2 linked regions of the Stegostoma tigrinum genome follow. The protein of the gene in region 1 interacts with the protein of each later gene in a biochemical or structural test. Links are inferred from orthologs where the notes say so. Each region holds a gene or a part of one and is shown in the gene's direction. Other genes may lie near its edges.

Region 1 (11,023 bases):
CAGCCAGAAGTGCTGAGTAGATGATCCATCTCAGGCTCCTCCAGTGGTCCCCAACATTACAGATACCAGTCTTCAGCCAATTCAATTCACTTCATGTGACCTCAAGAAATGGTTGGAGACTCTGGATACTGCAAAGGCTACAAACTCTGACAACATTCCAGCAATAGTACTGAAGACCTGTGCTCCAGAACCTGTTGCTCCCCAGGCCAAGCTGTTCCAGTAAAGTTACAACATTGGTATCTATCCGGTAATTTGGAAAATTCACCAAGAATGTCCTGCACAAAAGAAGGATTCATCCAACCCAGCCAATTATCGCCCCATCAGGCTTTTCTCAATCATCAGTAAAGTGGTGGAAGGTGTCATCAACAGTGCTATCAAGCAGCACCTGCATATAAATAACCTGCTCAGTGACGCCCAGTTTGGGTTCTGCCAGGACCACTCAGCTCCTGACCTCATTACAGACTTGGTTCAAACATGGACAAATGCGCTGAATTCCAGATGCAAATTGAGAGTGACAGCCCTGTACATCAAGGCTGCATTCGACCGAGAGTGGTGTTAAGGAGCCGTAGCAAGAATGGAATCAACGGGTATCAGGGAGCTAACAGTCTGGTGGTTGGAGTCATACCTGACACATGAAGATGGTCGTGGTTGTTGGAGGCTAATCATCTCAGTTCCAGGACGTCTCTGCAGGAGTTCCTCAGGGTAATGTCCTGGGCCCAACCATCTTCAGCTGTTTCATCAATGACCTTCCCACCATCGTAAAGTCAGAAGTGGGGATGTTCACCCATGATTGCACAATGTTCAGCATCATTCGCAACTCCTAAGATACTGAAGCAGTCAGTGTTCAAATGCAACTAGATCTGGACAATATCTAGGTTTGGGCTGATGAGCGGCAAGTGACATTTGTGCCACACAAATGCCAGGCTATGACCATCACCAACAAGAGACAAATAACCAGCACCCCTTGACATTCAATGATGTTACCATCACTGAATCCCTCACTATCAACATTCTGCGAGTTACCATTGACCAGAAACCCAACTGGACTCACGACATTAACACAGAGACTTCAAGAGCAAGTCAGAAGCTAGTATTTCTGCAGCCAGTAACTCACCTCCTGACTCCTCAAATACTGTCCACCATCCACAAGGCACAAGTCAGGAGTGTGATGGAATACTGCCCCCCCACCACCACACCACCCACCCCCCCAACTTACCTGGATGAGTGCATCCCCAACAACACACAAGAAGCGTGACACTATCTAGGACAAAGCATCCTGCTTCATTGGCACTATATCCAGAAGCAGCCACTCCCTCTACCACTGATGCTTAGTAGCAGCAGTGTGTACTATCTAAAAGATACATGGCAGAAACTCACCAAAAATCCTCAGATATCGCCTTCTAAACCCACAACCACTTCCACCTAGAAGGACAAGGGCAGCAGATATATGGGAACACCATCACCTTCAAGTTCCCCTCCAAGACGCTCACCATCCTGACTTGGAAATATATCGCTGTTCCTTCACTGTCACTGGTTCAAAATCCTGGAATTTCCTCCCTAATGGCATTGTGGGTCAAATTACAGCAGGTGAACTGCAGCAGTTCAAGAAGGCAACTCACCACCACCTTCTCAAGGGCAACTAGGGAAGAGCAAGAAATGCTGGCCAGTCAGTGATACCCCCATTCCAAAACTGAATAGAAAAAAAATTTACTCATTGACACAGCATCCATCACACTCTGGGATTAGTGAGTTCCACAGATTTATGACCCTTTGAGAGAAGCAATTTCTCTTCATTTCTGTTTCTACACTTTATCATGAAGCTATGAACTCTCATTTTAGACCGCTTCACATGAGGAAACATCTTTTCTACTTTTACTTTGTTAATCCCCTTCAGCATCTTAAATACCACAACTAGAACGCATCTTGTTTTTCTAAACATCAGAGAGTCGGTTCAATCTGCTCAATTTCTCTTCATTAGGCAAACCCCAATCGTATGGCAGTAAATGGGGACTGAGCCCAGCAGTCTTGTGTTTTGCAACATTATTTATGTCCCTTTTTAAAAGCAATCAAAAAAAAATTATCATTGTCCTATAGACCCAAGTTCCAATCCATAACTTCTGAGGTAGAATCTTATATTCCTTCCAACTGACCTCACAAAGGATTATTTAATGCATTTTGAGGTATGTCATAATCTACTGAATCACATGAATGATGACAAAACAATAATTAAGATCTTCTGTCACAATGCAAAGACACACATCACTGATAACAGTAAAATAGTTCATTCATCTGATGGGGTATTTTTCCTACAGCTTACAGAGTTAATTGGTTGGCTCTCAAGATGTAGAACAGTGACTCTTTGAGCTACAGAAGTCTTGACTTGAGACAAAGAGTTGCACAGTTTGATCACAGCAGTTTAATCCACTGCTAATTGAAAACTGTGACCAGTTGACAAAAGTTGACACTGTTTGTTACCAGTTGTTTTTGTTTTGTTTTCCCAGTCGTCATTTGTTGTTGGCAGTTGAGCCTAACGTATGAAAGGGAAATATTACGTACCCACCTCAATACCTTCATACGGGTCGAAGTACCTTGGACATCAGAATTGTGATACGTACTTAATTATGAAAACTCATGAAGAAACTGAAAAAGTTGCCGACTGTAGCTGTAAGTTTCAAATTATTGTTGGGAAAATAGAGGTGTGAGAAATTTCAAGTAAATTAAACATTACATAAATTGGATAAGGTTTATTTTCAATACATACAGTTAATTTTGTATTTTCCAAATGTTATCTGTACAAACCAGGATGCTCCACCAATCAGAAACTCTGATGTTCCCCTAAATGACCAGGAGCAATTCGCCAAACAAGAAACTGTACTGATGACAACTGGTACCTTAGTGTTGTCATGACAACAAAACAAGCTTCACCCGGCCATTGTGAAGTATAATAGCAGCACAGTGAAAAGCTAATGCTATTATATGTGCTTACTTGCTGTCGCAGACCTCATTCAACCCTGTTTTTGATTTCAAACACCACAGCCAAGATTTTCCATATTGAAGTTAAAGAAGGACATGAGGCATCTTAGAGAGCATCAATTCTGTCATGACCTAGGGCAAATTTTCTTGCACGACTGTACCTTTTTCAGCTCATTTTATAAGGAAGTGAGTCATAGTGTGACGTCAACAGTAAGTGATATGGGGTGGGTGGGGAGAGGTTCTTGATCCTGCCAGGATCTCCCAGGTGTGAAGGTTCTGCTGGTATACATAAAAAGCCACCTGAGGCATCCCTTCAATCTCCGCCAAGCTGCAGAGTCAAGAGAGCCTGCGTCAGCTACTCCCTTCCCTACTCACTCATGGTCATATAGCAGGAACAAATCAGCTCCAAGGTTTATGAAAGCCTCATCAGGTTTCGGCTCAATGCCATCCAGAGAACCCAGATAAGTGCTGTCCTCTAGTATTGGCAGCTCCCATCAGACTCAGGCGCTTGGGTCAGTGCCAGTGTGCCACAGGAAGGGCAGCGACTCCTATGTTGGTGGGCCCAGCGTAGGTGGCAGCGTGGCACAGGTATTGTTGGTGATCCGGCTCAGGGCTCAGGATTCTCTTTCAGTCATATCTTTTATCCTTTTCATTCTCAAACTATTCAAAATGGCGCTGGATTGTGGCGACTTTTGAAGCTTTTCACTGTATAATTTTACTGTATTATTCACTGTAATGCTGGTGGCAATAAATAAATCATTCAGCATTCATGAATGGTCTCCTGTGCTCCTCATTGCAAGATCAATCTCTTAGGGCCATCACTTAGTCTAACTCAGCCACTGGCCTGCAAGCCTCAGTCTCTTACCCATGATCTGCTTTGAAGGGCTCACACCTTATGCTCTGAGTATTCTGTTTCCCAGGCATTGCACTTTCTAAATACTTGTGGGAAGCCTACTTTCGGGACACATGGTCATAAAGTGCTCCTGCACCAGTACCAAGGACACACAATCCTTCTCCTTCTCTGCTTGCAGGACAAGAGGCCGAAAAGGCTAAGACCAGTGCAGAGTTGCTGAGTTTTCTTCCCTTATATGGTCCAGGCAGCAGAGTGATAGATGCGGATAGTGACCAGTCCTGAGTCAATAGAAAGATCAGAATGGCAGGAGAAGTCAGTAAGGAAGATTATAGACTGCACTTCTCAGTTGTGTCGTTCCACATGTTCATCTATATAAGGACTGTGCATGTTCACCAACTTATTCTTTCTCTTCTACAGGTATGAGTAGTTAACACACACCGCCAAGAAAAAGAGATGCGTAGCCTCTCCCCATCAGTACCATTTCTGACATGATTGCTCTGAAACCGCAGCAGATGCACCCTCCACCAGCTCAGAGAGTTCCACCTCATTGGGTTATCTGCCTATACTACATACAGCATCACCATCTTGTGAGCACATTACTAACACATCACTGCTGCAATTCAAAGGAAGCTGCATCTCAGGCACCTCAGAGACCTGACACCTAGCTCAACTCCAAGCAAAAGACATGCTCCTGTACTTGGCCCAGAGTAACTTGGAATATCACGCAGGGATGCTGGATATCCCTGTTACACCTCACTAGGGCAGCACGCTCAAGCACCGCTATTCCCAGAGGCATCGCCAAACTTATACATTTTATAAAAGTTGACAAAATACACCAATTTACTTGTGTTTTGGACCCAGTTGACAGAAAACTCAGACAGGTTTCTGTATTTAACAGAATACTTATGTATTTAACATAACTATTTGTTATAAATAAGTAGAGTTTATCGAGAACAACTATGAGCTGTTGACATGTAACTCTACCAGTTAAAACCCTAACTCTCAGTAAACTTACCCTATATACACATATAGACAGTCACAGGCAGACACCAAAAAAATTGGCTGCAATTGGTGAAGGGAAACAGTGTAAGGCAGTTCAATAGGTTTTGTCCACAGGGTTCACTGAAATGATCCTTTTGGCATGTCAGAACTTGCATATGGTTTCAAGCTCATTACCTATCAAAAGGACTCAAATGGTTGAATGATATTAAAGTCAGCCCTCCTTCTGTTTTTTTGGCATTTTTGATTTAGTGGTATCATCAATTCCTGATGCATGCCAGGTATCGCAAATTTAACTGTATTAAATTTACACACTTAAATTGCACCATTTCGCAAATGTTCTGTTGAATTCATCTCAAGTAATCTTTGCATGTTATTAAGTTTTTTTATTTTCAAACATATAGTTATTCATCTTTTACACCATAGCCTCCTCACTTATGGTTCGGGGCTGATGGATAAAATATAATAGAGTAATGACAGAAATGTTTAGAGAAAGACTTTGGTCACAGCACAAAATGGGCATCCAATAACAGCCAAGTGAGAAAGCTAGATAGATTCATGGGAGAAAAGAGTAGAATGATATACTGCTTGTATGAAACAAAATAGGGAAGAGAAGAGGCTTGTGAAGACTGGCATAGATCAATTAGGTGAACGGTCAGTTTCTGTGCTGTGGAATTCTGAAGTATGCCAAACTATGTTCAAATGGTCAAACTACAAACCTTTCTCAGTTTTTATTGCAATTGTGTGACACATGGGTGTTGAGTTATTCATGATTCATGTTTTGTAAGTGCAGAATAAGTTGCAGCATGAGATACAGGCAGTAAAGTTGTATTGAAGAGTAGAGCACCTACACTTTAGAGATAATGGGAACTGCAGATTCTGGAGAATCCGAGATAACAAGGCGTGGAGCTGGATGAACACAGCAGGCCAAGCAGCATCTTCGGAGCAGGAAAGCTGATGTTTCGGGCCTAGACCCTTCAGCTCCACGCCTATTTACACTTTAGAATGGGTTACAGATTTGCACATAAATCAGGCCATTTACTTTTCCAACCTAACTGTAAAAATAAGGTACTGGTAACATTAGATGTGGTAAAATTTTCAAGTAATTATACAGAATGTATAACGTAGAAACAGGGCGTTCTGCCCGACTAGTCTGTGCTGGTGTAGTACCCTCATAAAGCTTCTTTCCACTGTTCTTCATTTCACCCTGTCAGTATATCATTCTATTTGTTTACCCCTCATGTATTCATCCACCTTCCACTTAAATGTATCTGTGCTATTCATTTCAACTATTCCATATTGTAGTGAGTTCCACATCCCTAATTCTAGCTAAAGAAAGTCAACAAAAAGGTTTATTAGTTACTATTGCATATTTCTAGCTATAGTTTTAATTTCTTCTACACGAGAAACATTGTTCTACAGCTTCTCCATAAAACCTTTAAACACCTTAGACTATAATCAAGACAAAATGACTGCAGCCTTTTCGCTGTTTCCCTGCTAAGTATCACCTCTCAGTTCTGACCTGATCTTTTTTTAGATATTTTGAAACTGGTCGTCTGGAGAGGGTGGGACATGTACCTTCTGGCCCATGCATTTGCCCTAATTTCATTAATTTATTCAATTTCAGTCTAATGTCTCAGGTTCTTAGAAGCACTCATTCTTCATTTCCTTGCTGATGTAAATCAAGAGCATCTGTAAAAAGTTATGTTCTTTCAGGCCTGTGCTCTTGTGAAGGGGATTATCTGCCTCCAAGCTAATGATCTGGTCATCTTTACAGGTAGGTCTCCTGTGAACTTACAATTTTTTTTTGCTTTGTTTCAGTCTTTTTGGGTTTAAGCTTGTTTCAGTAGACGACAATTACTAGTTCCCAAAGATTGTTCGGTGAATGTTATTGAATATGAAGTTACTTCTTCAATTTAAACTCCAAAATTGATTGCAGGTATTGAAAAATGTCTGGGGTTTGTTGCAAATCAAATTTGCAGCAGTCAGTAAAAAAATTGAGTTCAAGATAACCTTGATGCAGAAGAGAATTTTGGCTGCTAATAATTCCTGTTTGTTCTTTCTGGTTAATGTAAAATAGATCCCATTGCATTATTTTTAGGAAAAACAGGAGAGTTCCTTTGGTGTTTTGCCTATTATTTCTTCTGATACCACTAAAATAGACAATCTGGTCAGTCTCTTTGCTGCTTGGAAGAGTTTTCCAAGTGCATTTTAATTGCTGTATTTCCTACATTTCAATAGTGGATTCTTTTTTCGTGGGATGTGGGTGTCACTGGCTGGCCAGCATTTCTTGCCCATTCCTCGATGCCTTTGAGAAGGTGGTGTTGAGCGGCCTTCCTGAACTGCTGTAGTTCACTTGCTGTAGGTTGACCCATAATGCCATTAGGGAGGGAATTCCAGGATTTTGAACCAGTGACAGTGAAGGAACAGTGATATATTTCCAAGTCAGGATGGTGAGTGTCTTGGAGGGGAACTTGAAGGTGATGATGTTCCCATATGTCTGCTGCCCTTGTCCTGCTAGGTGGAAGTGGTTGTGCGTTTGGAATGTGCTGTCTGAGGGTCTTTGGTGAATTTCTGCCATGCATCTTGTAGGTAGTACACACTGCTGCAACTGAGCTTCGGTGGTGGAGGGAGTGGATGCTTCTGGATATAGTGCCAATGAAGCAGGCTGCTCTGTTCTGGATAGTGTCAAGCTTCTTGTGTGTCATTGGGGATGCACTCACAGGCAAGTGGGGGGGAGCATTCCAACACACTCCTGACTTGTGCCTTGTGGATGGTGGACAGGCTTTGAGGAGTCAGGAGGTGAGTTACTTTCCGCAGTTTTCCCAGCCTCTGAGCTGCTCTTGTAGCCACTCTGTTAATGTGGTGAGTCCAGTGGAGTCTCTGGTCAATGGTAACCCCAGGATGTTGATAGTGAGGGGTTCAGTGATGGTAACATGAATGAATGTCAAGGGGTGCTGGTTAGATTGTCTCTTATTGGTAGTGGTCATAGCTTGGTATTTGTGTGGCGTGAACGTCATTTGCCACTCATCAGCCCAAACCTGGATATTGTCCAGAGCTTGTTGCATGTGAACATGGACTGCTTCAGTATCTGAGGGTTTGCAAATGGTACTGAATTTTGAGCAATCATCAGCAAAGATTCCACTTCTGGCCTTACGATGGAGGGAATGTCTTTGATGAAGCAGCTGAAGATGGTTGGGCCAAGGACACTACCCTGAGGAACTCCTGCAGAAATGCCCTGGAGCTGAGATGATTAACCTCCAAACACCATGTCCATCTTCCTATGTGTCAGGGATGACTCCAAATACCAGAAATTTTGCCCCCCTAATACCCAGTGATTCCAGTTTCGCTCCTTCATACCACATTTGGCCAATTGCAGCCATGATGTCAAGGGCTGTCACTCTCACCTCAACTCTGGAATTCAACTCTATTGACCATGTTTGAATGAAGGCTGTAATGAGTTCAGGAGCTGAGTGGCCCTGGTGGAACCCAAACTGGGTGTCACTAAACAGGTGCTGAGTCAGTCCTACTCTGTAGCAGTGTTGATGACACCTTCCATCACTTCATTGGTGATTAAGAGCAGACTAATTTGCTGGATTGGATTTATCCTGCTTTTTGTGTACAGGACATTCTTGGTGAATTTTCCAAATTGCTGGATAGATACCAGTGTTGTAACTGTACTGGAACAGCTTGGCCTGGGGAGCAATAGGTTCTGGAGCATAAGTCTTCAGTACTATTGCTGGAATGTTGTCAGGGCCCATAGCCTCTGCAGTACCCAGTGTCCCCAACCGTTTCGTGACATCACATGAAGTGAATTGAATTGGCTGAAGACTGGTATCTGTAATGCTGGGGACCACTGGAGGAACCCGAGATGAATCATCCACTCGGCACTTCTGGCTGAAGATTGCTGCAAAAGTTTCAGCCTTATCTTTTGCACTGAAGTGCTGAGCTCTTCCATCATTGAGGATGGGGATATATGTGGAGTCTCCTCCTCCAGTGAGTTGTTTAATTGTCCACCACCATTCACAACTGGATGTGGCAGGACTGCAGAGCTTAGATCTGATCAATTGTTTGTGGGATCATTCAGCTCTGTCTATCACTTGCTCTTTTCGCTGTTTGGCATGCAAGTAGTCCTGTTTGGTGGCTTCACCAGGTTGATACCTCATCATTCAGTACGCCTGGTGCTGCTCCTGGCATGCCCTCCTGCACCGTCCATTGAACCAGCATTCATTCCCTGGCTTGATGGTAATGGTTGAGTGGGAGATATGCCAGGCCATAAGGATACACATTGTGCTGGATTGCAATTCTGCTGCTGTTGATGGCCCACAGTGCCTCATGGGCACCCAGTCTTGAGTTGCTAGGTTTGGGTAAAGTCTATCCGTTTTAGCACGGTGATATTGCCACATAACACAATGAAAGTTATTCTCAATGTGAAGGCGGGACTTTGTTTCCATAAGGACTGTGTGATGGTCACTCATACCAATACTGTATGGACAGATACAATTGCAGCTGGCAGATTAATAAAGGTGAGGTCAATTATGTTTTTCCCTCTTGTCAGTTCCCTCACCACCTGCAGTAGACCTAGTCTAGCATCTATGCCCTTTAGGACCCAACAGCTCAATCTGTAGTATTGCTGCTGAACCACTCTTGATTGAAATCCCCCACCCAGTGTACATTTGGTGCCCTTGCCATCCTCAGTGCTTCCTCCAGGTATTGTTCAACATGGAAGAGTACTGATTCATCAGCTGAGGGAGGGCAGTATGTGGTAATCAGGAGGAGGTTTTCTTGCCCATGTTTCACTCGAAGCCATGAGACTTAATTTAGTCTGGAGTCAATGTCGAGGACTCCTACAGCAACTCTCTCCTGACTGTATACCGCTGTACCACCACCTCTGCTAGGTCTGTCCTTCCAGTAGGACAGAACATATCCAGGGATTGCGATGGTTGTGTTTGAGACATTGTCTCTCAGATGTGATTCTGTCAGTATGACTATGTCAAGCTGTTGCTTAACTAGTCTGTGCGACAGTTCTCCCAATTTTGGCACTAACCACAGATGTTAGTGAGGATGAATTTGCAGGGTTGACAGGGCTGTTTCTGCCATTGTCCGCTGGCTAGTTCTTTGCTAGGTGATACATCTCGTTTCACTTCTTTGATACTTAGTAGCAACCAGTACAACTGTGTGGCTTGCTTGGCCATTTCAGAAGCAAGTGAGAATTAGCCACATTGCTGTGGGTCTGGAGTCACATATAGGCCTGACCAGGTGAGGATGGCAGATTTCCTTCCCTGATGGTCATGAGCGAACCAGATGCGTCTTTCCGACAACTGGCTTTGATTTTGTGGTGATCAGTACATTCTTAATTCCAAACCATTATCTTTATAGGATTCAATTTTCACCATCTGCCCTGGTAGCATTCAAACCCAGATCCCCAGAATATTGGCTGGGTTTCTGGATAATAGTCTAGCGATAATATGGGCAGGCCATTGTACACTGTTGTTGATCGTGAAGTGCTTTGAGACATTCCAAATTCATGAAAGACCCTTTACAAATGGAAGTTACTTTTCTTTCTGTCAATGCATTTAAAATATGCAGCAAGTGAAGTTATTTATAGCATTTGAAATAAAATATTCTATATGCTCTAGATTAATTAGCTGCACTGCCCTCCAGGATTAAGCTTTCAATACAATGTGAGCTGATGGAAAGAAGACATTTTTCCTTTCACAATAATTACTGAGAGCTCGAAGCAGCATGAACTCTTTTAATCAAGGATCGATTGGAAAGACATTTCACATTTCGAAAAGTAAAAATTGGGTCATCACTGTAGGGAGCCTTTACCAATGTAAAATTCATAGAACTGTTGCATTCAATGGGCATTCGGGCAGGGCTGGAATCTTGCAGAATTGTGTCACTGAAAGTTTGCAAGTTGCTGAGAAACGACAGATCGATTCAATGGTTTCCAAGGTTGCCCAGTAATTATGACCGGATCAGAGTCTGTGTAAGGACATGAACAAATAAAAGGTATAGAATTAGGAAAACACCATTCAGTCCACTGCAAAATGTATTTGTTGCCCAAGTTCTATATATTCCCATGAAACTGCATCTCCAGCACAGGGGATAGCTACTGGAGAATAGAGGGAGCACCACCACCAGAAGCCTGGCAAAATAACAGCATAACATTCTGGCGTCTGCAACAATATAGTG
Region 2 (10,198 bases), on another chromosome or scaffold:
ACTTTGTTGCCCAAGGAGAATCAAATTTAATCTGGATAGTGGTTGTTTTCATTGCTGAGCATGGGTTATTGCTATGTACAATATATGCTTCAAGATCAAAACTGAGAATTTTGGATTTTTCACAATAGGTTAATAATCCAAGAGAGGAAAGGAATTAATCCCTCCATTCCAGCAAATATTAAAGTGTCCACAGAGCAATTGTTTAATTTGTCTTGAACTTGCTACAAAGTAGTGAATATATATGGATGGATTTATTTAAATATCAATGCTATCAATTCTAAGGCAGGAATCTGTTTAATATGAATTATGCAAAGAATGACAAATAGTGAGAGTAACATAATCTAGGAGCTTGGCAAACATTCCAAACCAAATAGACTGAAACTTGACTGGATGTAACTTATTAAACATGACAACATTGTGTTCACAAGTTCTAATTCTTGATATAAATATCTCAAGTTTAAAGGAAATATAATATTTGCCTCTTGCTTGATTAAGAGAAGAAAATGCTCAATTTGTTGAGAAATAAAAACTATTAATAGAAACCATCAAAAGTAATTCAAAAAATCATTTTCCAGCGATTGACATTATAGCTTGTAGCTGATGATAACTGGAAGAGAAATATTATTTTCAGAGAAGTAAGGTGTATGAGGTTTTAGAAGACTTGCAGTCCATTCAGCACATGAACGTTGTCTACAGAACAACTCAAGCTGTTTTTATTGTACTTTTTTCTGTCTGTTGGCTGCTTTCATTATCAGAATCCTCTTCTTAAGACACCCTCTTCCCAAACACATTGCAAGCAAATCCCAATTCATAATGCATCCATCATTAATACATGTAGTGACACGTTATCACCTTAGCCGCCTTTCATTCAAATACTTCTCACGAGATTTGACAACAAAGTTATACTCCCTTCACAAAGTCATTTGAAGGTTTTCTTATCATATTCAAGTCTGAAGAAATTTGCCGGGAATTCGGTGTCAGGCACTGAAGCTCCGATGAAGCAAGAAACTGTTGAATAGCTGAGAGCAAAAAATGGTTATCATTGCTTCTGAGTTATAGCTACAGATAAAAGTGAAAGGCTACTGAGTTGTTGAGTTTTTAATGTCTTTGATGAGGGATTATTTTCTGTCAACATATAGTAACGTTGTTATCTAGTAAACACATATTTAAGATTATAGACAGTATCTTATCTCAGTCATAATTTTCATGTTACTAATTTGTCAGTCACAGAGAGGGAGGTACATCAAAAAAAACAGTGCAGAACCATTAAAGAGTCTTGAAGCTAGAATGTTTGTAGAATGAGTCACTAATTCCCTGAATAATTGACTACAATTGATTGTACAGCACTTTGTTTACTCTGGGAGCATCTGCAAAGCCAGTTCCACATTTCCCAATGAGTATATTTATGGAAATAACAGCCCCACACACTGTTACATTTCTTGTCAGCAAACCCTCTAAAAATTATGACGAATAGAGTTTTGCATCTTTGTCAATGTGAATGATGCTTAAAAGAAGCCTTGCCTGGAGTATTAACCTTGTTTCTAAGTATATTTTATGTTGGCAGCATTATTTATTGCTTGTATCCCTGGCTGCCCTGAGCTTGGTCCAGCTGAAAGGTTTATAAAATCACTTCAGAAGGTTGTTTAAGAGTAATTGCAAATTCAGCACAGGTAGTAAAAAGGAATAAGAATGGCAGGATTTTTTTTCCTTAAAGTGAGTCAGTGAATAGGTCTCTTGACCAGGATCCCATTAACAAAGCTTCCATTGAACCCATGTCCAAAGGTGGTGGTGTAAAACCCCACGCTGGAATGTTAGCACGCAGTCTCGGATGAAAATCCAGTGCAATACCTTTGCATTTCTTTTCATCGTGCATGGGAAATGTTTCAAAGTGTACCTCAGTATAGAGGTGTTGTTATAATGTTGCACTGTCTTTCCTTGAAATTCTTTGACTTGCACATCCAACAGTAGTCACTAAGTTATGGTCATAACCTCAGGGTTGGTTTAATAATATCCAGGTGAAATATCACCAGCAGCAGGTTTGGTCTATGTCCCTTTAATTACTTCATAGTCCTTTGTGGATTGGATCTGAATCTGCACATTTATCAGAGACAGCTGCAAAGTAAGAATCATTCCTTATTTTCCTTTCTACCCTATGGAATTCCCTGTATGCTATTGATCCATTTCTTTACTGTCATCTTCTAAATTATTTTTAACAGATATGTTGGACATGTTAGGAAGTACCGCTACAGCAGGTTGGACTGACCTTCTGTACCACCAGACTCCGGAACATTCCTGTTCAGTTTTGTACCAGGGACATTTCATGTGTAGGGTGAATGTGGTAATCACTAAGGTGCAGAAACAGTGATTGTTTTCATCTTCTGTACTGATTGATCATCTTGCCGTCCAATAGGGGGCAAGTGGACCTAGTAGAAAGCCCTGATAGACTCTCCCTAGTGCCTGGATCCTGGGTGCATTATGCTGCTTGCCAGAAAGGCCTTAAATGCTTTCTTGAACCTCTTCACTGACATATAAACTCTCCCCATGCCCTATTTCAGGATCAGGACTGTTTTTCTTATCTGCAAAGTGCCAACATGAATGATACTTAAAAGAAGCCTGGCCTGTAAACTTAAGGGGCAGCTCCTCAATTTCTGGTTTCACATCTTGGTCATATTCCTTGTCTTTGATGGGCAGATTGAAAGGGAGATCAGAGGTGTGTGGAAAGAAATGATGAGCCAGGGTAAAATGGGTCAAGATTGGACTGCTATGACTTTTCTTGCCGTTGTTAGACCCAATTCATGCTTGGTTGAGCATGGAATTTGATTACATGTTTTGATTGTCTATTGATTTACCTTATACCTTCTGTAACTTGGGGCCACTGAGGGACATGATTCATCCATAACATGATAACCTCACCACTCCACTGTTTATGAAAATTTATCCTCATTCGATCAAATCATGGGATGTTTATGATACACAAAGAGGCCATTTGGCTTGTTGTGTCTGAGCAGTCTATCTGCAAGAGCAGATCATAGAGTGTCAATAATCCCACCTATGACAACTTTTGCTCTACAATTTGGTATACATTTTTTTACTCATTTTTCATATAATGATCCAATTATCTTTTGAAAGGCAGATTAAATCATGTCTTCAGCACAGTCTCAAGCGCAATTCTAGATCCTAACCATTCACTGTGTGGGGAAAAGATTTTCCTTACATCTCATTGCTTCTTTTGCCAATCTCCTGAAAGCTTTTTTTTTCCTGTTTCTGGACCCTAATGGGAACAGTTACACTTAATTGATTCTGCCCTGACATCTCGAGATTTTAAACATTTCTACCATATTTCTCAATCTTCTCTTCTCTAAGGAGAAAAACTTGGCCCCTTCACTTTATCCACGTAACCAAAGTTCCTCATCCCTGGAACCATTTTCAGGAGTTTTTTTTTGCATCATCTCTTAAGTCTTTCAAGTGTTAAAACTTAAAGAGGAAGGTATAGAGGAATGTGACTAATTCAGCAGCTCCAAAAAGATTGTCACATCCTCCCTGAAGGTTTGTGTAAACAAATAGACTGCTATTCCAACTGAGGCCAAAAGCTAGTGTTTCATAAATGCTCATCACCATTTTGATCACCTTTCTCAAACTGCTTCAACACCCTCAACAACTTGTGCACATATGTCACTGGTCTCTTAGTTCCTTCAGTCATACTCAATTCTATTCTTTATTTTATGTTGCCTGCTCTTGTCTTTTCTACCAAAATACATCACATTGCACTTCTTTGCATCAAATTACACCTGTGATATATCTACTCATTCCCCACACCGACCTGGTTGTGTGCTTCTGGAGTTGAGTGCTATCCTCCTCACAATTCACAATATTTCCAAATACTGAGTTGTCCACAAATGTTGAAATTGTGTTCCACACACCAAAACCTGAGTGAGTAATATATATCAGGAATAGAAAGATCTTGAACATGAGGTAAAATTCAGGCATTGAAATGCCTTGAAATATTTCCTTATATTAACATTTCTGAGTAAAAAAAAGTTGAGTTTGGGGATATGTTAGTGTTGGTTCAGATCCAAAATAGCTCAAAATGGGAATTAATTCAGGAAATTCCAAAGATGTCCCATTATCTAACTGTAGTCATAGAGTCATACAGCACAGGAATAGATTCTTCAGTCCAACCATAATCCCCAACTAAACTAGTCCCATCTGCCAATGCTTGGCCCATCTCCCTCCAAGTATTTCTTATTCACGTACTTACCTGAGTGACCTTTAAATGTTGTAACTGTACACACATTTACCACTTCCTTTCGAAGTTCAGGGGAGGCAGTGTGGATCTTGCAGATGCTCCTGGGATTGCAGACATAATCAAAGATTTATTATAGTTTTTCTTACAGTTATTACAGTCATGATATTTTACTAGTATAAGATGTTTTATTCATTCTGTTTTATTAGAGTACAAAAAAGCCAAAAAACAAACAAATAAAATTGTGATTTTCTTTTCAAATGCACTGTTTTTAAACAAGCTTTTCTACAGTGAACAGCTGAGGTATTTTTAATTCTAAATTCAGAAATTTAAAAAAGACTATATGTGTTTTAGCGGGTGTTTTCTTTTACATTGCAGAAGTCTTTTCTTGAAAAACCAAGCAGATTTTTTTAAAAGCAAGGAGTTGTGTTTTTGTTTTGGTGAGTCCTACATATGGTTGGCTCTAGAGAAGACTTTTCTTTTCCTTTGAGCAATTTATTGAAGAGGAGTTTTTTTTATTCAGTTAATCAGCTAAATGGTTGATTTCATTTAAGTTTTATCTGTTTGTTTTTTTTCATTTTAACATTATTTTCTGGAGGTAATGAAAGATGTTTTATTTTCAGTATAAGGTGTTTCTGAAAATTCTTTTAGGCATAGTGTTATTAAGGCCTTATGTAAGGTACAGAGTGAGGTGGCTGGCAGAGTTAGAAAGGCTTTTACATGGCAGGATCTGTCAGATAGATGGGTGACTTGGGAAAGGTAAGGTAGTTTAAAAGTCTCTGGTGACTATTCCTCTATCAAATAGATATTTAGCTTTTGGAACTGTAAAAGGGGATAGTCTCACCAAGGAAGATGGAAGGGGCAGTAAGTTGTTGGGGACTTGGAATAATCCTTATGTTAGGCAACGCTTTACAAGATTTAATAGGATTATTGTAATAGAGGACTCTGCTGTCAGGGACATAGACAGGAGATTCTGTGGCAGTGAGCATAACTATAGGATGGTTTGTTGCTTTCCTTGTGCTAGGATTAAGAACAACTCCAAACATTTCAAGCCTATTAAAGGTGAGATTGAGAAGCCATAAATTATTGTACACATTGGTAGGAATGACATTTTTAGAGACAAGATTAAAGCAGTACAGAGTGAATTTAAGAGGTTAGGTAGAAGATTTTAAAAAAAGAACCTTAAAAATAGCAATTTCTGGTTTACTCTCAATGCCAAACTTAAACAAGCGAAGCAACAAAAGGCTAAGGCAATAAATCAATAACTGAAAAGCTGGTGTATTGTCCAGGGATTCAGGTTTTTGGACAATTGGAATGTCATTTAGGATAGAAAAGACCTGTTGAAAAAGAATGAGTCTAACCTGAACTGGACAGTGACCAATATCTTAACAGGGAGATTTGCTCATTCCATTAAGGGAGACTTAAGGGAGTGGAGGAATTCTAAATAGCAGCGTAAATAGAAAGATTGACAGCGAAGGTTCTGAATGCGAAGAGACCATGTCAATTAGAAAAGAGAGAATCATAGTATGTAGTAACCCTGAAAAACTAAATTGCACTTATTTCATTGAAAGGCATCTTATGGGTAAGGCTGATGAACTCAGGGCATATTTAAGAACATGAGACAGGGATATCAAAGCTACTTCTGAAACTTGGCTGAGAGATGGACAAGGCTTGGCAGCTCAATGTTCTGTGAATTAACTGAACCAAATGGTTGTAGAAACATGAAAAAGTGTAAGAAAAATGACAATGAGTCATTCTCCCTAAAATTGAGCTTTATATTTGCTGATTTCAAAATATGCATGAGAAGACAATGAAGTAGGAGTTTTCTAGGACACTGCGGGTGAACTCCGCTCCCTATTGGAACTGCTACCAGCTGCTTTTGTGGCTGGGTCGAGACAGAACGGTTGCAGCTGCACTCCCGGCCGATTGGTGCCGCTGTCTGTAGCGGATGTCGGCTACATCACAGCGTGCCGCACAGCCGGCCGCCCCGGAAGTAGATGATGGCGAGGTGCCCGGATGGTGGGATGAGTGTCAGGCTCAGCGCCGACATGATTAAACATTATGAAGCGCTGGATTTCCAGTTCTGCGACGAGGTCGGGAAGTACGAGAAGCTGGCGAAGATCGGGCAGGGCACTTTCGGGTGAGTCCGGTTTGGGAACGGGTGGGGGGAAGGGGCAAGGGAGCGCGGGGCCTGAGGACTGAGGACTGAGGACTGGATGGTAGAGAAGAAGAGGAAAGAGAGAGCGACTGGTTGGGGGAATGGGAGAGAGAATGTACAGGACTTTAGGGAAGGAAATCTGTCTTTATCTGGTCTCGCCTATATGTGAGTAATTCATTCTAACCTTATCTTCAAATGGAATCAACAAATCAAATTCGCAAAAGTGATCTGAGCTTGTTGAATGTTTTCATGACAGCCTCCTGGAAGAATATGTTGTGGAACGGAAGAGAGCATAGTTACTTGTAAATCTACGATTGTGCTTTGAGGCGGGGTTAATGAGTGGTCTCATAGTGAGAGATCCACTGTTAAGAAGATTAACTGAACTCGTCCTTACCGCTAACAACTTCTCCTTCAACTCTTCTCACTTCCTACAGACTAAGGGTATGGCCATGGGAACCCGCATGGGCCCAAGCCAGGCCCGCCTCTTCGTAAGATACGTGAGAGAGCCCCTCTTCCACAGCTACACTGGCACGAGCCCTCACCTCTTCCTCCACTACATCAGTGACTGTATCAGCACTGCTCTGAGCTCCCACAAGGAGCATGAACAGTTCATCAACTTTACAAACACCTTTCAACCCGACTTCAAGTTCAATCATAGAAGCCCTTCAGTGTGGAAACAGGCCCTTCGGCCCAACAAGTCCACACTGACCCTTGGACCATCCCCCCCCTACCCCCCACTACCCCCCCACTACCCCCCCACTACCCCCCCACTACCCCACTACCCCTACCACCCACACATCCCTGAACACTACAGGCAATTTAGCATGGACAGTTCACCTAGCCTGCACATCTTTGGGCTTTGGGAGGAAACCGATGCACATTCTCTCCGTATCTGCAAACTCCACGCAGACAGTTGCCCGACGCTGGAATTGAACCTGGGTCCCTGGCGCTGTGAGGCTGCAGTGCTCACCCCTGAACCACCATGCTGCCCTTGTTCACCTGGACCTCTGTCTCCATTTCCTATGACCACCTCGAAACTGATATCTATTTCAAGCCCACCGACTCCCACAGCTACTTAGACTACACCTCCTCTCACCCACCTTCCTGCGAGAATGCAATCCCCTGCTCCCAATTTCTCTGTCTCTGCTGTGTCTGCTCCCAAGGTTCCACTCCCAAACATCCCAGACATCCCCTTGTTTCAAGGACTGCAACGCTTCTTCTCCCCACCCCCAAGTGGTCGAAAATGCTGTTGAATACATCTTTTGTGTTTCCTGCAACTCAGCTGTCATATCCCCTCCCTGCAACAAAAACAAAGACAGAATCCCCCTTGTCCTCATGTATCATCCCATTAAACCTCCAGATTTAACGTGTCATTCTCCGCCACTTCCACCACCTGCAATCTGACCCCACAACCAAGGATATATTTCCCTCACCACCCCTATCTGCCTTCCGTAGGGACCACTCTGTCCGTGATTCCCTCATCTGCTCCACACTCCCAACTAGGTCCACCACCCCCAGCTCGTTTCCCTGCAAACGTAGGAAGTGCTACACCTACTCCCTCACCTCCATCCAAGGAACCAAAGAAAACTTTCACATAAGATCGAGGCTCACCTGCATATCCGCCAACATGGTCTACTGCATCCGCTGCAGCTTCCTCTGCATTGGTGAGACCGAGCAGAGGCTCGGAGACCACTTTGTAGAACACCTGTGCTCTGCTCACGACAAACGATACCACCTTTCAGTTTCAGCTCCCACTCCCACTCCATAGATGACATGTCCATTTTGGACCTCCTCCAGTATCACAGTGACACCACCCGGAAACTGGAAGACCCGCACCTCATATTCTGCCTTGGGAGCCTACAACCGAATGGCCTAAATCTGGACTTTTACTAGTTTCAAAGTCTCCCCACCCACTGCCTCATCCCACCTTCAACCCGCCTTATTGACCTGACACAATCTGTCCATCTTCTCTCCCATCTACCTGCTCCTCCTGCTACCCCCTACCTGATCTCACCTATCATATCCCGTCTACCTTCCCAGCACCCCCCCATCTCTATTTATTTCTGAGCTCCCTTCCTCTTCCCCCATTTCTGAAGAAAGGTCCTGACTCGAAACGTGAACTTTCCTGCCCGACCTGCTGTGCTTGTCCAGCTCTACATTGTCCTATCTCTGACTCTAGCATTGGCTGTTCTTACTATCGCTGTTAAAATGTGCTCATCATACACTTAATTTTCATATTAAAATTTAGCATGATATCTCAAAATAAGGATATTAAACAGGGCCAGTTTAGAAGATGAGCTGACTAGGGTTGATTGGGTGGACTAAAAGCTTTGGTAGTAAATGACTAGTGGGAAATCTTTATATAAAATCATTTAAAATTTTTGACAAAAATACTTTCTACCAAAAATAGAAACAAGGCTAGAAAGATCCACTTGCCACTTACTGGGGAAATGAGGATGGTAATAAATAAAAGAAGCCTTTAAGATTGCAAAAGATTGTTCTAATTGATTGTTTCAGAAACCAGAGAAAATCAGCAAATAAGTTGATAGAAGAAAAAGTAGCTTAGGAATAAACTAGTTGGGAATATAAAGACAGATTTTGACAGCATTTACAATTATATCAACAGGAGATCAGTGTTATGATCCCAGCTAATGGAGATAAAGTAGAATGTTCCAAGCCATCTACCTACAGTGCAAATTCAAAGATCTTTAGTCACAATAAAGTATTATCCCTTTAATACTAAACACAAAAATAAAAAAGAAACAAAACTGCTTTTGTATAGTACCCAAAATGCACTTCTGATATCGTCCCAAGTGGCTGCTCGCACAATACTTACTAGAGTGTCTGAATGCTTTTTAGGTTGATCTGTGGTGGCCGATGATGAAACTTGAACTCATTGAAGAGATATTAAATTGTTGATCCTATTGCCTTTTCAGGTATCAGCTGACATATCAGACAAAGAGACACTCAAACAAAAGTCTACTACTCAAATCACCAACAATATACAGGCATTCGATTAATGTTTAATAATGTTACATGTAACTCATTATTCCAGCTTGTCACTAATTAGACTAAATTGCAAGACTTGTGGCTTGGACTTAGCTATTAACCGTGCGAAGTGAACTGCAGAAGTTCGCTCCAATGGGGCTTGGTCACCTTTGAGTTCTGAACTCAGGGTATTTCTTCCACAATGGTTGTTCCTGGGTCATCGCTACCGATGTCTCTGATGTTTCTTCTTTTACCTGTTTTCTTCCAGTCTTTCAGGAACATCGAAAATAGGATCAAGAGCACCATTTGGCCCTATAAGCCCCTGCTGCTCTCTTCATTATGAACCATGGCTGATCATCTCACTCAATAGCCTGTTCCTGCTTTTCCCCCTTTTTGATCTCTTTAGTCCAGTCCATGTTTAGTGATGTACCACTGCCCAAGATCCACGTGATTCTGAGATCATCAGTCCAAGAGTCGTGTAAGCAGGACACATCATCTCCATTGTACTTCCATTAGTCCTTAATTTATCAACTGTTGCAACAATAAAAGTTGAATGACGCTCAGCACCAGACACCCGCAGAATGATTTGTATTGTTGAATTCTTTTCCCATCGTGCTTTGTTGAGGTTTCACTGTTAGCCATATCTTTACATCTACTTCATAGAAGGAAACCTGCTGTCCTTAAACCTGGCCTGGTCTACATGTAACTCCAGCCCAATAGCAATTTTGTGCATTCTGACTTACATTTTGGGCAATAAAAGCTTGCCTCGTCAGTGATACCATCCCAGGAAAAAATAAAACATTAAGGAT

Evidence for each region.
Region 2: of the proteins of myelin basic protein (region 1) and cdk9, one has a biochemical effect on the other in vitro, tested with the Homo sapiens proteins (2 studies listed by BioGRID). The link is inferred for Stegostoma tigrinum from reciprocal best matches to the Homo sapiens genes MBP and CDK9.

Annotation. Positions count from the first base shown.
Region 1 is NC_081358.1:41,217,328-41,228,350, reverse strand, and holds the start of myelin basic protein, read left to right. Parts: upstream 1-6,566; 5' UTR 6,567-6,581; coding exon 6,582-6,602; intron 6,603-11,023. UniProt on the Homo sapiens protein: The classic group of MBP isoforms (isoform 4-isoform 14) are with PLP the most abundant protein components of the myelin membrane in the CNS. They have a role in both its formation and stabilization.
Region 2 is NC_081382.1:34,258,423-34,268,620, reverse strand, and holds the start of cdk9 (cyclin-dependent kinase 9), read left to right. Parts: upstream 1-6,224; 5' UTR 6,225-6,240; coding exon 6,241-6,383; intron 6,384-9,237; exon of another isoform or gene 9,238-9,356; intron 9,357-10,198. UniProt on the Homo sapiens protein: Protein kinase involved in the regulation of transcription.